Linked DNA regions of Stegostoma tigrinum. The protein of the gene in region 2 interacts with the protein of the main gene of each other region in a pairwise test. Links are inferred from orthologs where the notes say so. Each region holds a gene or a part of one and is shown on either strand. Other genes may lie near its edges.

Region 1 (10,923 bases), on a different chromosome or scaffold from region 2:
CAGATTTAGGCCATTGAGCCCATTGAGTCTGCTGTGCCAATCATTCATTGCTGATACGTTTCTCAAACCCATTCCCCTGCCTTGTCCCTGTAACCCTTGATCCCATTACCAATCAAGAACCTATCTACCTGTATAAAAATACATTCAATGACCTGGCCTCTACAGTCTGCTGTGGCAATGAGTTCTATAGATTCAGTACCCTCTGGCTGAAGAAATTCCTTCTTATCTGAGTTCTAAAGGGTCATCCCTTCATTCTGAGGCTGTGCCCTCAGGTCCTAAGCTCTCTTGCTACTGGAAACATTTTCTCTATGCCCACTCTATCCAGGCCTCTCAGTATTCTGTAAATTTCAATAAGAGCACCCCCTCATCCATTGACTACCGATCCAAATTCCTCAACCACTCCTCATATGGCAAGCCCTTCATTCCCGGGATCATTCTTGTAAACCTCTTCTGGACTCCCTCCAGCACATCCTTCCTTAGATATGGGGCCCAGAACTGCTCACAATATTCCAGATGTGGCCCCACTAGACCATTATATACTCTCAGCAGTACATTCTGACTCTTGTATTCTAGTCCTCTTGAAGCGAATGCTAACATTGCATTTGCCTTCCAAACTGCTAACTGAACCAGTATGTTAACCTTGCAAGAATCCTGAGCTAGGACTTCTAAGTCCTTTTGTGCATCAGATTTCTGAAGCCTTCCCTCATTTCGTAAATATGCTATGCTTCTATTCTTCCTACCAAAGTGCATGACCTCACACTTTCCCACACTGTATTCCATCTGCCATTTATTTGCCCACTCTCCTAGCCTGTCCATGTCCTTTTGCTGCCTCACCACCTCTTCAGCACTGTCTGTCCCTCCACCAAGCTTTGTGTCATCTCCAAACTTAGCAACAATGTTCTCAGACTACATTGATCCTGGTGATGACCTCAGATCAAGCTGGCAGAGTCTGGTGGTGTGATCACATCTGGCAATCTTGGGGAAAGAGGATGTCCCCTCTTGTATAGAATTCATCAACCATGACCTCAAAGTCCCTGTCAGACACTACGTCCACTAAATTGTGTACAGCTTCCAGAATGCCAGTGTTTATCCACGTGCACAACAGCCTTTTAAAAATGGCACTTATGCCAGGGATAGCTGGCAATATTAAGAACTGGGGTAGTGTGATGGGTCAATGAGTGGTACTGCTGCCTCACAATGCCAGGGACCTGGGTTTGACTCCAACCTCAGGTGACCGTGTGGAGTTTACACATCCTCCCCATGTGTCTGTGTGGGCTTCCTCCGGGTGCTCCACCTTTCTCCCACAGTCCAAAGATCTGCAGGCTAGGTGGATTGGCCATGGTAAATGTGGGATAATGTGGATAGGGTAGTGGGGTTGGTTTGGGTCAGATATGCTTCAGACATGCTGGGCTGAATGGCCTCTTTCTGCACTGTGTGGATTTTATGATTCTGGTTACAGTAAGTGGGAGAATTTGGATAGCATCAGATGAGCGGGCATACTATGGGTTCAGGATCAGTAGTTAATGAAGCAGTTTGGGATGGTTGTGTGTGAAAACTCTCCAAAATTAGAGAAACACTCCAAATGGAAAGGCCCTGGGGAAAATTGATGCACAGAGAGATCTGGGTGTTCAGGTCCATTGTACCCTGAAGGTGGCAACGCAGGTCGATAGATGGGTCAAGAAGGCATATGGCATGCTTTCATTCATTGGATAGGGCATTCAGTTCAAGAGTTGGCAGGTCATTTTACAATTGTATAGGACTTTGGATCGACCACATTTGGAATACTGTGTACAGTTCTGGTTGCCACATTACCAAAAGGATGTGGATTCTTTGGAGAGGGTGCAGAGGAGGTTCACCAGGATGTTGCCTGGTATGGAGGGTGCTAGCTATGAAGAGAGGTTGAGTAGATCAGGATTATTTACATTAGGAAGATGGAGATTGAGGGGGAACCTGATTGAGGTCTTTAAAATCGTGAGAGGTATAGACAGGATGGATAGCAAGAAGCTTTTGCCCAGAGTGGGGGACTCAATTACTAAGGGTCATGATTTCAAGGTGAGATGGGAAAAGTTTAAGGGAGATATGTGTGGAAATTTCTTTATGCAGAGGGTGGTTGGTGCCCGGAATGCATAGCCAGCAGAGGTGGTAGGGTCAGGGACGATAGCATCATTTAAGATGTATCTAGGCAGATATGCAAATGGGCAGGGAGCACTCGGATGCAGATCAATGGAAGATAGGCAACAGGTTTAGATAGAGGATCTGGACCAGCGCAGGCTTGGAGGGCCGAAGGGATTATTCCTGTGCTAGAGTTTTCTTTCCTCTTTGTTCTTGATATTCAGCAAAACTGACATTTCACTGAAACACTGTTAGATTCAGCCCTAAGTGTCTTTCTCTCTTTCATTGGGTAAGGGGCATTGTCGAAGTGAGGTCAGGTCCTGTGACATAAAGTTTGGATAGGATTGACAGTCCTGAAAAACATGTGGACCACATGAAAGCTGCAACCTCACAAACGGGACAGGAGCAAACCGTACCCTCAGAACAACTAGAAAGGCTGTTGCAACCCATGCGTTCTCTCCCTCTTCAAACATCAAAGAAACCTTGGAGTCTGAGATAGACATAGCAGATGTCACAGCCTCGATGCGTTTACCACCTGAAGAACAGGATTAATCTCCTCCGAGGTGCTCCAGGTGCAAGAGACAGATTATAGTCTGGAACGTGCTGCCCATATCCAAGGCTGCGTCAGAGAAATTAGACCCAGTGCAAAAACATCCCTGCAGAGGTTACAAGAAAAGGAACAATCCTAAATCCCCAGACTTAGATGGGGAGGGATGTAGTGATTGTCATGAGGTCAACCAGGTGGACCTCATAGAATATTGTTCGCTGATTGGGGCTGTTAACTTTGTCCAATCAGGGAGCCCTGGCTGACAGATATAAACAGGAGTGTCAGCAGCTCTGCTCATTTTGTGAGCTAGCTCTGAGGAATTTAGACTGGTGTCAAGTATTGTGCATATGTAAATGAGGAGTGACTTAGTGACAGGACACTGATCTCTGGAGTTATTTCACTTTCCTTTCTTTATCCTAACCTCTGAGGATGAATATCTGAACATTTTTTCCTTAGTCAGGTTTCTCCTGCAGTGACAAACTTCAGCCTCCACCAAATGATGGTGATACCTTGTCAGTGATACTGTGCCACTCTATTGAGGTAAATGTTCATCATCAAATAAGCTCAGGCATTGAGCTGTCACTGCATGGGTGTTAGCAGCCTACAGCTTATGGGATCTAAAGGTTTGGCTGAGGATCTCCAGATCCAATTGAGTTAGCCCAAAGGTGAATAGTAGAATAACCAAGAGTTACTGGTTTGTCCACTGTTTGCCCTGATTTTTGGGGTTATGCTGAATATCTACTAACTTAAGTATCATCTTTTATGATGCTGATGATTAATCATCCTCCTCCAATCCTCACTCCCATTTGAGGTCATAGGTCAAAGCAGACCACTTGCTGCTGAACAAAGATGATGGCTGTAAATAATATCAAAAAACAGTCTATTTGCCTAGACTGCAGTTTGCATGGTGGCCTTCTTCACCAGACACTTGTGTGTAATCCAAGCCAATACTTGCAATGCTGTATTGAGGCAGTCCTGCACTGTTGGACAGACTATCCACTTGTCCCCTCAATTGAATGTAAATTATCTGTTGCTTTTTTTTGATTTAATACCATGGGAGTTCTTTCCATTTCTTTCCCCCCACCCAGTATGCTGTTGTCAACTAACCTTCTAAAACCAGATGATCTGGCCATTACTGTATTTTTGTGTGTGGGGTCTTGCTTGTGCAATATGGCTGCTGTGCTTCAGTAGTTCTTCAAAACTTGACAAGTACTTAACTTGTTGGGTAGTGTTTTGGAACATTGGAAATTGTGAAAAGTGACAAATGCAAGTTGTTCTTTCACATTGCTTTCAATCACAATTGCTACAGTGAACGTGGACACTGCCCAGTCCATTATGTCTGCATCAACTCTCCAAAACAGCATTGTGACTTAATGCCATTTTAAAACATTGCACATTGTTTCTATTCTTCTAATGCTCTTTTGAATGCCTTGCTTGAACGTCACTCCTTTGCACTTTCAGGCTCTGCATTCCAGGTTCATCTTTCTCACCATAGCTTAAAGTTCCAAACCTTTTTGAATCTTCCACGCAGTTTTTAATCCTTAATGTCTTTTGCTTGGTACACCTGCTCTTCCTGTTTAATGTCTCGATGCCTTTTCTCTCTGATTACACCCTGGTCCTTGCCTACCTCCTTCTGGGCTTCCCCCTCATGTCAGCGGATCGAGCATATTGTTTCTGGATTCTGCTTCATGGCTCAACATCAAATTTTGTTTTATTGTCTTAATTCTTCTCTTGACCCTGTTCCACATTCCATCCTCTCTCTCCAGATCGCAGCCTCTGTTTATTTACTGATTTGAGATCCTTTTGTTTGAGGTTTACTGAGATGTTTCCTCAAAAAATTATGGCTTTCACAATCTCTCGTGTGGTTTTAGCTGTGGTGCAGCAAGTCCTGACTGAGTCAGAATGTCATGAATTCAAGTCCCACTCTAGATGCTTCAGCACAATGACCAGCCTGATATAACTGTGCAGTTATGCGGTGAAGTGATGGCCTTATAGTATTGTTGCTGGACTGTTAATCCAGTGAGCCAGGTATGTTCTGGGAACTTGGTTTCAAATTCTGCCACAGCAGATGGTGGAATTTGAATTCAACTGAAACAAAGCTAGAATTAAAGGTCTTTTGACCATGAAACAATTATTGGGGTGGGGGGTGAAATAAACCATCTGGTTGATGGTTATCCTTCCCCAAAGGATAATTAATCTACTGTTGATTGCAGGGGGAAAACCCATCTGGTTCACTAATTCCTTTTTGGGAAGGAAACCCCTTTTTACCTACATGGGGCTCCAGACCCACACCAATGTGGTTGACTCTTAACTGACCTCTGGGAATTGGCATTAAGAAAATGTACTAAGGAGCACTGAACTGTCTACACTTCAAAACTTTAGCTGTCAAGCTCTTTGAGCTATTATGAAGGTTACTCTCGAAATCCAAACCTTTCTTTCCAAATGCTTGCCCACCAATCAACTATCGTCACGTCGCGGGCTCCCACAAACAGCAGCCAGTGACCGAGATGAAATGGTTTGATGTTCGCTGATGAGGGGGTAAACATTGGCCCTAGGTGAATGAAAACTGTAACCCAGCGACAATACTGCGGCTTCCTAACTGCTGCCTCGCCGAGCACATGTTGCTAATGACAAAACCCCCTTCACTTTGGTTTTCGAAGCTGCTGCCTACCACATTTTCGTTTGAAAATAAAAGCTCCCCTTTGTTGATGCAGGGCTTTGAGATAAAATCTGCTTTAGCAACTTTTGTTAGGGGAGTGTGTCAATTGTAATGACAGAAATGGCGATGATATGACTATTTGTTTTTGATTTTTGTTCTTTCGGGCCAGTCTGAGAAGAAGCTGGGCTGAGAGTTTCACGCAGAGCAGAGATTTCAGTGGGAGTGGTAGGAGAGACACAGGCGCAGTCTCGCCCTGCAGCGTTGTGTTTAGATTCTCGCTGCCTCATAGCCCTGGAATTCAGGACTCGCCGAGAATTCTGTTTCCGTCCAGGGTTTTTTTTATCCCCCCTTTCCTCTCTCTCGGCTAAAGGTGTAGCGCGTACCCATCAGTCTGCACAAACATTCGTCCCCGCTGATCCGGACAAATGGCCAGTTCACCCCAGAAATCCCCATCCATCCCGAAGTCCCCCGTCCCGAAATCCCCCGGCTCCAGGAAAGAGGATTCCTTCCTGGGTAAACTTGGAGGAACTTTAGCCAGAAGAAAAAAGGCCAAAGAAGGTAATTCTTTCTTCTTTGTTTTTAGAAAAAAAACTTGTTTCATGTAAATTGTTCACGAACGTCCTGAAAATGTTGCCTATTTACTTGAAAGAGAAGTTTGCAACAAGTTTCGAAAACTTTTGCAATTTCAGCTGAAAGTGTTCAACTTGGTTTTGCTTTGTGGCTAACGTAACAGCTTCTAAGGCTGCAATGTGAGTGATTTACTCCCTTCATTAAATACTTCATTGTTTTGCAGCCTAAAAGTGGATTTTTGTTTTGTGGAGTTCACAGTTAAGTTCTGGGCTGGGTGTAGCTGGGCGTCCTGTGGAATGTTTTCCGGTTCAGACTCATTTGGTTGGCAATATAAGTTCTGCGGTTGAACTCGAAAGCATTTTCCGAACACCACCCACCCCCCTCTCGTTATCTCTCTGTGCATTGCACAGTTATTGATCAAACACCAAGGTTAAGACCGCAACTCAGGCGGGAGCTGCTTATCTGCACCTTACAGGGGGCAGGTATGCAGGAGTAAGCTGGATTCCTGTCTGCAGGGAAACCACGCCATGTAACAAAACCAAACCCTAGAGCAATAGAATTTCCACTGGCAATATTACACAGCTGTTGTTATCGTGAATGAAAGAATAATGTGTATTTTTTAAATTTTGAATCTTGACTATCTACATTTGTTGTCGGAAATTTAAAAGACAGTACAGGAAAGCCATTCAACCCCTTTTAAGGCTGTTGAAATCATGTTACAACTGCACAAGACATTGGTAGGGCTACATTTGGAGTACTGCCTACAGTTCTGGTCGCCCTGCTGGAAAGGGTGCAAGCATTTTTTTAAAAGGATGTGACCGATACGGAAGGTTTGACTTACAAGGAGAGGCTGAGTAGGCTGGCTCTGTTTTCTGAGCACCCTTAGAGGCTGAGGGGTGACCTTGTAGAGGTTCATAAAATCACGAGAGGCCTAGATAAGGTGAATAGCCGAGGTCTTTATCCCCAGGTTAGGGGGGGAAAATTAATAGGGACCAGGGGGGCAGCTTTTTCCACACAGGGGGTAGTGCATATATGGAATGAGCTGCTAGAGGAAGTGGTAGAGATGGGTACAATTAGAACATTCAAAAAACATTTGAACAGCTATGTGCATAGGAAAGATTTAGAGGCATACAAGCCAAACAGGGGCAAATGGGACTAGTTCAATTCAGGAAACCTCATCAGCATGGCTGAGTTGGGCCAAAGGGCCTGTTTCAAGGCTGTATGAGCCTATGATTCTAATTGGAGTATGGCTGATCCCACATGCTTAAGTGGAGAAGACTTGTGTGTTAAGTAGTGGTAACTTGAGCCAAATGACTGCTTTTTGCCCTGTGTACTTGCTGTAATTCTTCAATTCCATTAGTCTGTCTTCCTGTCCATGTTCTACCTTTGTGTGAGTTCTCTTCTGCTCAGGATTTGGGTATACTTGACTTTGTACTGAATCCATACAGACCAGGGTGCACAGCATGATCTGCTGTGCCCACTGTTTACACGGCTGGTATGTTAATTGGCACTTCAAGCGGTCGTGCCTCGGCTCAAAAATTCAACAAGTAGAAATATAGTTGGGCTGCGCTGAGAGCGTGTTTCTCACAATACTGTTGTTGTTGTTTGACTGCTGCACAAGTTATGCAAGACCTTTATGAAACCCTGCTTGGGCCCATCCTGGGCTCAATCCGTAATTGTTTGAGAGAGGTAAGTGGTTATAATTTTGGGGGGTCACCACTCTGCATCAAACATGGCTGAACAGAAACCTAACCCACTCTTTACTGCCTACATTTGATTACCAACCTACATGACCATGTCACAAATGGTGTTTCAATGGTCAACAAGGTCAATGGTGGATGTTAACTCTGAGCTTATGGCTCAGACAGATATCACCAACTGACATATAACGCCCTGTCCTCAGCTGGTGTATTGTGCCCAGTTCTGGAAAATGATGTCCAAGCCGTTGAGAAGATGCAAAGAAGATTTTATGGAAATAATGCAAGTGATGAGATATTTGTTTTCATCTTTAAGATAGAGGTCTGGAGAGTAGGTGAACAGGAGACTTGGTAGAGATTTTCAAAATCAGGAATTTGATAGGGTGCATTTCCTCTTGTAGGAGGGTCAGTAGCTTGGGGACACAAAAACATTAAACATGGTTCAGAGATAATAGGAACTCCAGATGCTGGAGAATCCGCGATAACAAGGTGTGGAGCTGGATGAACACAGCAGGCCAAGCAGCATCAGAGGAGCAAGAAAGCTGATGTTTCGGGCATAGACCCTTCATCAAAAAAACGGGTTTCATTTGGAATGCATTGCCTGAATGGGAAGTGGAAGCAGATTTAATAGTAACTTTGTAAAGGTGGTTGAGTATTCAGTTAAATGGAAAAGCTCTCAAATCTGTGGGGAAATAGTGAGGTGTTGGGGGAGGGAACTATTTGTGTAGCTCTTTGTGACACCACAGAATAGACTAAATGATTGTGCTCTCAAGTTGCAAGGTTCAGTGATTCTTAATCTTGCATATTTCAGCCTGTTGTAGAGATGAATCCCTCTTGCAGAATTAAATCCTGATGTCCGCAGAGGTTTGTTCTTGATCATTCTTTAAATGTCATTTTTACCAGAGAAGGGAGGGGCTAGGTGGCAATTCAAGCTGAAAACATTTTGTAGGATTTTCACTCAGACCTCTCAGTTACCTGTTTGGACAAATGAGTAAGAGACATAGAATCATAGAATCCTTAGAGTGTGGAAACAGGCCCTTTGTCCCAACATGTCCATGCTAACTCTCACAGCATCCCACCCCCATTCCCCAATAACCCACCTAATCTACACATCCCTGAACGCTACAGGCAATTTAGCACAGCCAGTCCACCCAGCCTGCACATCTTGGGGCTGTGGGAAGATATGGAGCACCCGGGGCAAACCCACGCAGACACGGGGAGCATGTGCAAACACCATACAGACAGTCGCCCAAGGGTAGTATCGAACCCGGGTCCCTGGCGCTGTGAGGCAGCAGTGCTAACCATTGAGTCACTGGGCTGCCCCGATTGTCCGGGCCAATTGTCAAAATTTGGCTACTTCAATTTGACAAATATTTGCTTTATTATTATGGAGGTTAGTGGGAGGGTGTCTCCTCCCTTCACTCAAAAGGTCATGAGTTATAAGCTCTACTGTAGTGAGTTGAGCACAAAATTTAGACTGCTATAGTCCAGGATGGAGGGAATGCCATGCTGGCCTGAGGGGCATGGGGGCACATATTTTTGAGAGGAGAGAAATTTTAAAAAGTCACAAAGGGCAAATTTTTCAGAGTGGGTGGATCACGTGTGGAATGATCTTCCTGAGGAAGTGTGGATGTGGGCACAATTACAATGTTCAAATGACATTTGGATACCTATGTGAATAGGAAAGGTTTGGAGGGATATGGGTCAGGAGAAGGCAGGCGGGACTAGTTTAGTTTGGGATTATGTTTGTCATGGACAGGGTCTATTTCTGTACTGTATGACTGAGGTATTAGGGAATTGAGGGATGTCGGGAGCAGGCAGAAAAGTGGAGTTGACACAATCTCTCTCACACAAATGTATACAGAATTAGAACTGCAGTAGGCATTTCAGCCCCTCGGGTTTGCTGCACCATTCAGTTGGATCATGGTTGATCTGTTTTTGTTTTCAATTCCGTATTCCTGCCTGATAAGAATCTAACCACCTATGTTTTCAAATATTTAATGACACTGTATTCCACCAGCCCCTCACCCAAAGTGGAGAGTAAAAAATGCTCTGCATTTCTGTCCTAAGGGGTAACCCTTATTATTCAAAATATGCTCCATAGTCCTGGGTTGACGGAAAAGAATAAACTTTCCACATCGACCTTGTCAAGATTTTCAGGCTCTGATACGCTTCAGATCGCTCCTCGCTCTTTTAAACTTCACTGGAAACAAACCCAGCCTGTCTCTTTATCCTCACAAAATAACTCACTCATTCAAATCAGATCCAGCTTTAAAAAAGACCTAAACTGTACACAATATTAAAGATGTGGTCTTATCAATGTCTGACTGAAGCTTAACATTCTTAATTTTATGTTCAGTTCTTGTTATTATACAGGCTAGCATCATATTAAGTACAACAGCAAAAACAGAAATTGCTGGAAAAACAGCACATTTGGCAGCATCTGTGGAGAGAAATTCGAGTTAATTTTTCAGGCCCAGTGACTCTTCAGAATGGACCCTTTTAGCTTTCTTGATTACATGTCATATTTGCATCTGAGTTTTTAATAACTCATACACCTTGGAATTCTATAGCCATTTTCCATTTAATTAATATTGTACTGTTTAATTCTTCCTACAGAAGTGAGTAACTTCACATTTTCCGACATCCCAGTCCATCTAGCAGATTTTTTACCCACTCAAGTTATTCGTATCTGGATGTGAGTTTGCTCGCTGAGCTGGAAGGTTAGTTTCAGACGTTTCTTCACCATTCTAGGTAACATCATCAGTGAGCCTCCGGTGAAGCGCTGGTGTTGTGTCCCACTTTCTATTTATCTGTTTAGGTTTCCTTGGGTTGGTGATGTCATTTCCTGCGTTGGTGATGTCATTTCCTGTTCTTTTTCTCCGAGGATGGTAGATTGGCTCCAAATCAATGAGTTTGTTGATGGAGTTCCGGTTGGAATGCCATGCTTCTAGGAATTCTCATGTGTGTCTCTGTTTGGCTTGTCCTAGGATGGATGTGTTGATTGGGACAACGCATTCATCCTAGGACGAGCCAAACAGAGACACGCACGAGAATTCCTAGAGGCATGGCATTCCAACCGGAACTCCATCAACAAACACATTGATTTGGAGCCAATCTACCATCCCCTGAGAAAAAGAACAGGAAACATCACCAACGCAGGAAATGACATCACCAACCCAAGGAAACCTAAACAGATAAATAGAAAGCGGGACATAACATCAGTGCTTCGTCGGAGGCTCGCTGATGATGTTACCTAGAATGGTGACGAAACATCTGAAAACTAACCTTCCAGCTGAGCGAGCAAACTCACATCCAGAACCTCAACCTGAGCTACA
Region 2 (11,552 bases):
TTTTCTACTTTTCTGTAAAGATACATGCATTAGGCTTCTCTGCGCTCAGTGCAGCATACCCACGCATACTGCAAGTGGTACACATTAATATATAAGGCATTTTTTTTGCAGACTTTTTTAATCTCAAATTATCTCTTTTGCAACTGATCAAAATAGGCAACAGCCATTGTCTGGTTCATTTCTCAGGGCAAATCTTTAACTGTGTAGATTCAACTTGCCTGGTTTAGATTTAAATAAAGCTTGATAGTTAACGGATAGTCATTATGTAACTGATGCATTCCCATCACAATGACTCTTGCCAGAGACCACTGCCAAGTACTCATTATGCTATGCTCACAGAACATAAAAAATGTTGTTCACTTTTACATTTGTAGTTTTGCAAATTTCCAGATGCATGCAAGATGAAAAGCTCCAACAGAACATGCTTTTCTTCACCAATAATTTTGTAGATTCACTCTGCTGTTGGTGGCAAATGCCTGAACAAAGTATTTTTCTAGTGGCTAGTGTATGGAGTTCATTAGATAACAAGGTGTAGAGCTGGATGAACATAGCAGGTCAAGCAACATCAGTGAAGCAGGAAAGCTGACGTTTCGGGCCTAGACCCTTCCTCAGAAATGCAGTTCATGTCCACAGTAGCTCTATAGGCATTGAAACTGTACAGTGGGCAGACTCAGTCTGCAAGCAGATACAATCTTAGCATTCCCTGAGCAATATCTTCCCAATGACACTAAAGGGTGGGTTGTCCCTGTTTGTACTGCAATCTCCTGTCACCTTCGTTTTTATATAGTGTGATAATCTCACGTAGAATGGAGCCTACTTTCCAGCAGAGAAAGTCATAAAAAGTCACCCTAGATGAGAAATTTCATATTTGAGCAATTCAGCTGGGATTCCATGCTTTACACATGCCTTGCTATTTGCAAAGCAGTACAGACCTGCATGAATTCAAGCAAAGGGATTTCTCATCTAATTTATCCATGACAGGAAGCTGTAAGAGAATGTCAAGCATGGAGTGGGCAATGATTGTTTCACAGTCATTATCAGCTCATCTTTACCTGTGTCAGTGACTACTTCACCTTGCGCCGATTTCGGAGAATTCCTTCATACCGAGCTTGTTAATGTCCATTGTCTCATACAACTGACTGAGGCTTATTGGAACAGAATCTCTCTCTTTTGTATGATTGTCTTGGTTACTTTCAGTGTCAAGTACTGTTTAATTGTTGCATTTATCTTGTAGATCACGTAGGCTTTCCATAGAATTTCCATAGGATCCCTACAGTGTGGAAACAGGCCCTTCGGCCCAACAAGTCCACACCGACGTGTGAGCCCATCCCAATGTAACCCCACTAATCTACACATCCCTGAACACTATGGGCAATTTAGCATGGCCAATCCATTTAGCTTGCACATATTTGGACTGGGAGAGGAAACCAGAGCATCCAGAGGAAACCCACACAGGCAGTCGCCCAAAGGTGGAATCAAACCTAGGTCCCTGGCACTGTGAGGCAGCAATGCTAACCACTGAGTCACCATGCCACCCATAAAGACGATGTTTCACTGTGTTAACCAGGCTGCACTGCAACGTTTATTCACAGGCGCAATCTGACTACTGATGAGCATCGGGCTTTGACATGCTCAGTTTCTGACCTTGAACAATTCACTCCTCTTTACCCGATCTGGTGATCCCGATTCCTCCAGGGACACCATACCGATGCCCAACTTAGAGAGGACACCTCATCAGTATAGTCCACAGCAGTCCAGAACTCTTGGTCTCACGCAATTTACATCAATAGTAGATGTCATCTCCATTATGTAGATCTCAAACCATTCTTTCTTGTGCTTCTACCTTTACTAAATTCTAAACAGTTCCCTGAGAGAGTGGATGACTTTCTTTCATTTCAGACATGTCAGTCCTGAGGTGACTAAACAATTCTGAATTGCATACACCATCACAAAGTGGGCATATGGTATTTAAAGAGGTGGGTAGATGGACGGTCAGGCTTTTGCATGCTCCTTCCACAGTTTGCACTTAACCCACACCAAAACCTAAAATGCTTTGTTGATTGGCATTTTTACAAATATTTCTTCTGCAGTGTGGGCAGTCTTGGTCAAGAGATTCCCAGGTTCTGTAGCCATTGCAATTTTTTTTTAATGAGTTTTTAAGGACATGCTTGGAATGTTTATCTCTGCCCACCCCCCCGCAAGTAATTGCTTGCCTTGACTGAGCTTGAAGTGGGAGGTTTGGTTTAATAGCCTTATATCAGGCATGATGACAACGTGACACACCCAATGCAGCTGACTAAAAGTAAGCAGTGCTTCTATGGTGGGGAGAGAGATAATGGAAACTGCAGATGCTGGAGAATCTGAGATAACAAAGTGTGGAGCTGGATGAACACAGCAGGCCAAGCAGCATCTTAGGAGCACAAAAGCTGATGTTTCAGGCCTAGACCCTTCATCAGAAAAAGGGTAGGGGGAGCGGTCTCTGAAATAAATAGGAAGAAAGGGGGAGGCGGGTCGAAGATGGATAGAGGAGAAGATCAGAGGAGAGGAGACAGACAAGTTAAAGAGGCGGGGTAGGAGCTAGTAGAGGTGAGTGCAAGGTGGGGAGGTAGGGAGGGGATTGGTCCGGGGAGGACAGACAGGTCAAGGGGGCGGGATGAGGTTACTGGGTAGGAAATGGGGGTGCGGCTTGGGGTGGAAGAGGGGATAAGTGAGAGAAAGAACAGTTAGCGAGGTAGGGATGAGCTGGGGTGGGGAGTTGGCCCAAGAGAGGAAAACCTATTGTGTCAATAGATTTGCAGAATTTTGCAGGGGCGTCACAGTGACAATTCTCTGGGATTCTACTCAAAAATATATGTATGTTTAAGAGATAACAAAGTGTGGAGCTGGATGAACACAGCAGGCTAAGCAGCATCTTAGGAGCATATGCCTCCAACAGATACAGAAGGACATGCAAGATCAATACCCCGCACAGCAAGAGGCTAGTGCCAGGCTACGCTGGGACATTACGGACATGTTGAATTTCATGATGATAGCCCTTTTGAACGAAAGCTCCGAAGTGGGTTGATGTGCGTTGCGCAGTGCTCACTATGGATCTTGATCAACAGGGAATGGAGATGCATTGCAACATCAGGCTAACAGAGGATCAATGTCCTCTGATTGGTCAGCACAAATCTCATGCTCTCATACACCTCATGCATCAATAATAGTCTGAAGGTCAGCCTCAGAGTGTATGCTCAGAAAAGCAGCGTCTGCGTACTGCAGCTTAGTGACAGAGGCAATCTAGGCCCAAAATGTCAGCTTTTGTGCTCCTAAGATGCTGCTTGGCATGCTGTGTTCATCCAGCTCCACACTTTGTTATCAATGACAGAGGCTGCTGTGTTCTAGGTTCTGAACCGGAGGTCCCATCCTGTAGAAAAGCTTCCCTCCAGTGGGGATGTTTGTGGATATGACGTGGAGTATTGCGAAAGGTAGACAAGAGTGTTGTGCGATTGCACTGGCATTGTTTAAAATAAGCTTGCACACATACCATCTTAATTTATTCCAGTTTTTTCCCCAACCACTGTCAACTATTTTCTGATATTATTATTGACATGATCGCCTGCAAAATTCTCATACCCCAAAGATACATCTGGAACATTACTATTTTTACAAAAGCCTAAAACATCCAAATTTTTAAAAAAATCAAATTCCATGGCACAACTTTAATTCTATCAAATCCAAAAGGTCTTGGTCACTGCAGCATTAGCCAACGCAAAGATCAAACGATGCTGCCATGCTCTACAACAGCTGTATGTACTCTAGATCTCATCATATCCTCCAGAACCAAATATATCTTGTTTACCGCCTTCTGTACTGTCAGCTTCTGAAGTGAATCCACGGTTGACCAAATGCAGTTATTTACAATGCGCACAGATATATGCACTGGGATATGGGGGAAGGAAATTAAGACTGAAACCCAGCTGGTCCCGGGATCAGTGTGGAAGGGGAAGGTCATTCCCAGCGGTTCCCCGGAACAGTGCCAAAGACCGGGCCTTTCGCCCTTGCTCGGTCGGTTACCTGTGAGTCTACTGAATTCACGGGGCCGTATGGCTTCGATCGCTCCCCCGCACCCCTGCTGCTCGAAAGCTGCTGTAAACAGCTCCAGGCTGCTGCGCTCCGGCGGTGTCGCCTTCCCCTCCATTTGGTGTCAGCTGCGAGCCGGCTTCTCGCCACAGATCAGTCCCAGGATCGGGGGCCGTGCCGCGACTCCTCCCTCTCCTCGGCCTGGACCCGCCTGCGTGTGGGCAAAGAGATAGACTCAGAGTCCTTGAACCGGGCGAGGTAAAGGCGACTGTACAATCATTGACAGACACCCAGGCCGAACGGCAAAACAATTATAACCGTTAAAAAATAATTTCAGGACCGGTAGCCAAAGTCTCGCTGGGGTCATGAGGCTCCAGGTGAGGAGGTTATCCATTCATAGATCGGAAAGTTGAGTTAAGGATTGTCAGATCAGTCATAATATCGTTGAATGGGTTCAGAGATAGTCGGAACTGCAGATGCTGGAGAATCTGAGCTAACAAGGTGTAGAACTGGACGAACACAGCAGGCCAAGCAGCATCAGAGGAGCAGGAAAGCTGACGTTTCGGGTCTAGACCCTTCTTCAGAAAAGGGGGAGGGGAAGGAGGTTCTGAAATAAATAGGGAGAGATAATGTGTGAGAATCCCCCTCGTCCTCACATACCACCCCACCAACCTCCGGATACAACGCATCATCCTCCGACACTTCCGCCATCTACAATCCGACCCCACCACCAAAGACAATTTTCCCTCCCCATCCTTGTCTGCCTTCTGGAGGGACCACTCCGGGACTCCCTTGTCCGCTCCACACTCCCCTCCAACCTCACCACACGCGGCACTTTCCCCTGCAACCGCAGGAAGTGCTACAGTTGTCCCCATACCTCGTCACCCTCCCCCAACCCAGGCCCCAAGTTGACTTTCCATATCAAGCAGATGTTCACCTGCACATCTGCCAATGTGGTATACTGCATCACTGTACCCGGTGTGGCTCCCTCTACATTGGGGAAACCAAGCAGAGGCTTGGGGACCGCTTTGCAGAACACCTACGCTCGGTTCGCAATAAACCACTGCATCTCCCAGTTGCGAACCATTTCAACTCCCCCCTCGCATTCCTTAGATGACATGTCCATACAGGGCCTCCTGCAGTGCCACAACGATGCCGCCCGAAGGTTGCAGGAACAGCAACTCATATTCTGCTTGGGAACCCTGCAGCCCAATGGTATCAATATGGACTGAACGTCCATAGTAAAGATGAGGTGTTGGGGACTGGGGAATTGGAAGTTCTGGAGGAGGCACGGACATAGGTCAGGAGTTCCTGGACTTAGGGGAGAAGATGGAGTCGAGATAGGTGGAGATAAGTTCAGTGGGGCAGGAGCAGGCAGAGAGCAGGATTTCACAAGCTTCAAAATCTCCCCTCCCCCTACCGCATCCCAAAACCAGCCCAGCTCGTCCCCGCCTCCCTCACTTGTCCTTCCTCCCACCTATCCCTTCCTCCTGCCTCAAGCCCCACCCCCATCTCCTACCTATTCACTTCATCCCGCCCCCTTGACTTGTCCGTCCTCCTGGACTGACCTATCTCCTCCCTACTTCCCTATCTACACTCACCTTTACTGGCTCCATCCCTGCCTCTTTGACCTGTCTGTCTCCTCTCCAGCTATCTTCTCCTCTATCCATCTTCTATCTGCCTCCGCCTCGCTCCCTATTTATTTCAGAACCCTCTTCCCCTTCCTCCATTTCTGAAGAAGGGTCTAGCCCCGAGACTTCAGCCTTTCTGCTCCTCTGATGCTGCTTGGCCTGCTGTGTTCATCCAGCTCTACAGCTTGTTATCTCCCTCTCATCCCAGCCTCCTTGACCTGACACAACCTGTCCATCTTCTCTCCCACCTATCCACCCCTCCCACCTCACTGACCAAACCTCACGACTGCCTGCCTGCACTCACCTATCACCATCCTACCTACCATCCCCAGCCCCACACCTCCTCTATTTATTTCCCAGCTCCCTCTATCCCCTCCACATTCTGAAGAAGGATCCTTGAGTTGAAACATTACTTTTTCTACTGCTTTGATGGGCCTGGCCTGCTGTGTTCCTCCAGCTCCACACTGTGTTATCCCTGACTCCAGCATCTGCAGTTCTTACTGTCACTCATTGAAACATTAACTCTGCTTTCTGTCCACAGATGATGACAGACTTGCTGTGTTTTGCCAGTAATTTCTGTTTTTGTTTGTGCCTACTTTAGCTCCTGCATCTTATGGCTTTATGGTCTTAGGAACCTTATAAGGCACAATGAGGCATCAGACTACCCATCTCTGAGGAGACCTTGCATTGTGTTGTGCTGCACTACAACCATGCTAAATAAGACAGGTTTTGAAAAGATCCAGCAATTCAAAACTGGGCATACAGGTAGTGCTATGGCTCAGGTGGAGCAGCAGAATTAAAGTATTCAGTCACAATCTGTAACCTCATGGACCAACATATCCCCGGTTCCACCAGTACCGTCAAGCTTGGTCAGTAAACATATAAGAGGACATGGCAGGGGCAGCACCAGAAAAACCTAAAAATGCAAACCCGGAGAAGTTACAGCATAGTATCAGAGATAATGGGAACTGCAGATGCTGGAGATTCCAAGATAATAAAATGTGAGGCTGGATGAACACAGCAGGCCAAGCAGCATCACAGGAGCACAAAAGCTTGTGCTCCTGAGATGCTGCTTGGCCTGCTGTGTTCATCCAGCCTCACATTTTATTAAGTTACAGCATAGGACTGTTTGCCCGCCGAACTGCAAAGTCAGCATACAGTTCAGAGTTCGACAACCATAACCAACAAATCACATCTAAACTCTGCAGTTGTGATGCTAGTTATTCATTCATCCTTTCAACTTGTCAGCCCAGGTCTGGGTATTGTCCAGGTATTGCTGTGTTTTGACAAAGACTGCTTCATTGTCTGAACAATTGCAAATAGTCCTGAGCACTGTGCTTAATCAGTAAACAGCCACACTTCTGACCTTGCAGTGGAAGGAAGGTAATTGATGATGCAGGTTAAAATGAATGAGCCTAGAACACTGCTCTGAGAGTAGAGCTGTTGTCATGCAGTGGTAGTGGCCCTTCCTCGAGACCAGAAGACCTAGGTTCAAATCCTACTTGCTTCAGAGGTGTGATATAACATCTCTGAATAGGTTGGTGAGAAAATATCTACCCTGATGAGCTAATGGCTCTTGTGATGCAGTGATAATGCCCATATCTCAGAACCAAGAGACATCGGTTCTAATCCCACCTAGACCAGACATGTGTCATAACATCTTTGATCAGTTTGGTAAGAAAAATATCTACCGTGAGGAACTCCCACAAGGATGTTCTGGAGTGAAGATGTTTGATGGCCACACATCTTGCTTTGTGCTCGGCATGACTCCAACCAGTGGAGAGGTTTCCTCTGATTCCCATTAATACTAGTTTTGCTAAAGTCTCCTTGATGCCATATTCGGTCAAATACGGTCCGGGGATGAAGAAATCCCAAGTTGAAGGGCAATCTATTTCTTTGTCCCACTTTCACATGAATTACAACAGGGGTCAGCTTGCTGTGGGTGCCAGTCCTCTTTCTTTCCCTTACGACCAATTTTTGAGGCCTAGTCTGTCTCTTTAGTTCTGCTTGTTAAGCGAAATACATAAAATTTGTATTGCTAACTCTGTTGCTTGGCACTTTTTAAAGGTTACTTTTATTAAGTATTCATTTTATTAAATCACCAGTTCATCATGTTGAGATTTTTTTTGACAACTTATTTACTTTCTTTCGTACCTTTTTTTTAAGTTCAAGATTAATATTGTACCCCCCCATGATCTGCATATGTAGCATCAAATCATCTCTGATTTGTAAGAAGTCTAACAAGGTCTCATCTAAGTGCATGTGTGAATTACTTGTCTTTGGCTCTTCAAATGTGCAGCTCTCTGCTGGCCAGTAAAGGTCATTTATTGACAAATCCATGCTTTCTCCAAGCTGCCACATTCTTGAATTAATTATTTCTCTATTTTTGTTTGTTGAGAAAGTAAGATGCCATGATAAAAAAAACTGAGTGAGGCTGGCTGTGTGCCCACTCACAAACAAGAAAACATGACTTGTGTGCCACTCACTAGAATGCAAAGCACCTCAATCACCATTGTGAAATATCTGAAATGTGGAAAGAGCAAGTCACACAAATTGGAAGATTACCTAACATGGGAAGCACAGTGCCACAACTATAGAGACATTGGTTATTTTAGAAAAGTTTGCAAGTTTCAAATGCAGACAGTAGTAAAGTATAATAATCAAAGCAGAACAAGAGGTGGAAATATCACAATACAAGGAAAAGTTTATTTCGAAGAAGTCAACAACTCTTAAATATGGGGGTATCAAAGTAGAAACAAATATGTACACCACAGATCATAAACTAGGGTAAGACTCAGTATCATCAAAACAGCTTATACGGCTTAAAAGATTAAACAGTAGCTATCCTGAATGAAATTATCAGGACCTAGAAGAACACTGGAATAATCTTAGCAAAACGTAGGAACAAGGGAAGAGAAATCATGGAATCTCTTTATGTCATTAAAAATCAAGTAGAATTATCTCTATTAAGCAAAAAAGGCACTTTCAAGCTGAGGCAATGGCCTAGTGGTATTATTGCTGGATGGTTTGGGGATTCAGGTTCAAATCCTGCCATGGCAGATGGTGAAACCTGCATTCATTAAATATCTGGAATTAACAGTCTAATGATGACCATGAATCCACTGTCAATTGTCAGAAAAACCCATCTGGTTCCCTGATGTCCTTTAAGGAAGGAAACTGCCATCCTTACCTGGCCTACAATGTGACTCCAGACCCACAGCAATGGGGCTGACTCTTAATTGCCCTCCGGGCAGTTAGGGATGGGCAATAAATGCTGCCTAACCAGCAATGCCCTCGTCCCATGAATGAATAAAGGAAGCTGAAACAAATGTACAAAGTAGATGGAATTTCAGATGTAGACCAAGAAAGTAAATTTCGAAGTGAATTCCCAAAGTTGTAATCAATCAAGTGAACTCCTTTTCCTCATTGTATTAGTTGAGAAGTCTGAAAATGTATTCTTAACTGTTTACTGAAGGCCTTCATTCACTGGTCATTATACACACTAGCATTCCTACTGTTGTATGCACTATATGATCAAACTATTGGCCTCATGAATATAGCCATCTGCTTGCTGTAAACTGAGCACTGACATTGGCATATCAAAAACCATCTTGCATAATAATGGATACCCTAAGCCAGTCATCATCACAAAACTTTAGGATAGGTCTACATTCTTTTTCCCCTGACCAGAATGCAATCTACCTCAAATTACCTTGGAAGGTGAAGATCTCAAAAATATGGTGAACCTAGCTAAATCATGCTAATAATATAGAGTCATTGAGATCAATAACATGGAAAACAGCCTTTTGGCCCATCATATCTCTACTAGTCAAAAGCAACCACCTAACTATTCTAACCCTACTTTTTAGCACATACCCCATATACGTGTATGCCTTGACATCATGTTTGCTTATCTAAATACTTCTTAAATGTTTTGAGAATTCTCCCACTTCCACTGTTACAGACAGTGAGTTCAAGATTTGCACTGTCTTCATGGTGAAAAAGTTTTTCTTCACATTTCTTCAAAGCTTTTGCTCCTTACCTTAAATCTATGCCCCTGGTCATTAATCCCTCTCTCCAAGGGAGAGGTTTCTTCCTATCTACTCTATCTATGCCCCTCATAACTTTATACATCTTAATCACGTTCCCTTTCAATCTCGTCTGCTGTAATGAGAACAACTACAGTCTTTTTGGTCTGTCTTCATAACTGAAACTCTCCAGCCCAGGAAACATCTTGGTAAAATTTCCTTTGCACCCACTTCAGTGGCACATCCCACCGATAATGTGGATTCCAGAATTGCACACAATACCCTAGCTGCGGCCTGACCAACATTTTATACAGTTCCAGCACAACCTACCTGCTTTTCAACTCTATGCTTTGATTAATATAGGCTATATGATAAATACCTTATGCCTTTTTAACTATCTTATCTATCTGTCCTGACACATTAAGGCACCAGGTGTATATGCACACTAAGGTCCCTCTAATTGTTGGTGTTTCCTCAGGATCCTATCATTTGTCATGTATTCCCTTGCCTTGCCTATCCTGCCCAAGTACATGATTTTACATTTGTCTGGATTGAATTCCATTTGTCACTGATCAGCCAAACTGCTCAGCCCATCTACATCCTCTTGTAGTCTAAGGCTATTATCCTATTTACCACACCAATTTTTCTATCTCTACAAACTTAATGAACAACTTTCTAATTCAAGTTTAAATCACTTACATAAATCATAAACAACAAGGACCCCAACACTGACCCCTGTGGAACCTCACTGGACAAAGACTTCCAGTTATAAAAATACTTCTTAATGATCACCCCCTGCTTCCTCCCACTCAGCCAATTATGGATCCAATTTGCCAAATTTCCTCAGATCCCACGGATTCTTACATTTACTATTGTCTCCCACGTAGGATCTTGTCAAAAGCCTTGCTAAAGTCCAAATAGATTATATCAAAGGCATTGCCTTTTCTACAAACCTGGTCACCTCTTTGAAAAATTCAGTCAGGCTGGTATGACATTATCTCCCTTTAACAAAACAATGCTGACTGTTCTTGATTAATCCCTGCCTCTCCAACGCAGATTAATTCTGTCCCTCAGGATTACTTCTAATAATTTCTTCACCACCGAGGTTAAACTGATTATGCAGCAAATCCAGAGTTGTTTCCCTTTTCTTCCCATCAAAGCTATTTTGCATAATAGATAAATGAATAATGTGATATGAGTTCAGTGTCATCGTGATACTAGGTCTGTAGGCCTTATGTCCTACTGAAAGGTAGACTGCAACAAACACATACCGTTATCCAGTCATATCAGGCAGCATGGCAGTTGTGTTCAATTAGTTCATGCTTGCAAAGCCCAGAAAAGTATATCCACCCATTAGATGTGATTCTGCACTTGCAAGTCGTTTCATAGAACATAGAACAGTACAGCACAGAACAGGCCCTTCAGCCCACGATGTTGTGCCGACCATTGATCCTCATGTATGCACCCTCAAATTTCTGTGACCATATGCACCCAAATAATATTGACAGCTTGAGTTAATCAGAATCCAAATTTAGAAGATCAGCTGGGCTTGCAGTATTATGCATTTGTGCATGCTCGAAGCTACATATCTAAATGGTCAGGACACTGTTTTCTGTTGATAAAAAATAATTTGTGCATATATTTATATATACATTACACCTTTTGCAAAAAGTAAGGTCATGAAGGTAGCCAGAGTCTGCTGTATTCGCAGAACAGCGCACTGACCAATCAGAATTTACCTATACGGGATGAGAATTAAGATTTACAGTCAACTGTTCATGCTTCTTCTCGATACCAATGATGGCCCAAACAATATGCACCTTCTTCACAT

Evidence for each region.
Region 1: the proteins of mocos (region 2) and parvaa interact in binary tests that used the Homo sapiens proteins (3 or more experiments, as listed by UniProt). The two-hybrid records come from large-scale screens. The link is inferred for Stegostoma tigrinum from reciprocal best matches to the Homo sapiens genes MOCOS and PARVA.

The regions. Positions count from the first base shown.
Region 1 is NC_081370.1:37,376,213-37,387,135, forward strand, and holds the start of parvaa (parvin, alpha a), read left to right. Parts: upstream 1-5,289; 5' UTR 5,290-5,743; coding exon 5,744-5,876; intron 5,877-10,923. UniProt on the Homo sapiens protein: Plays a role in sarcomere organization and in smooth muscle cell contraction. Required for normal development of the embryonic cardiovascular system, and for normal septation of the heart outflow tract.
Region 2 is NC_081355.1:91,986,763-91,998,314, forward strand, and holds the start of mocos (molybdenum cofactor sulfurase), read right to left. Parts: upstream 4,592-11,552; 5' UTR 4,181-4,591; coding exon 4,057-4,180; intron 1-4,056. UniProt on the Homo sapiens protein: Sulfurates the molybdenum cofactor. Sulfation of molybdenum is essential for xanthine dehydrogenase (XDH) and aldehyde oxidase (ADO) enzymes in which molybdenum cofactor is liganded by 1 oxygen and 1 sulfur atom in active form.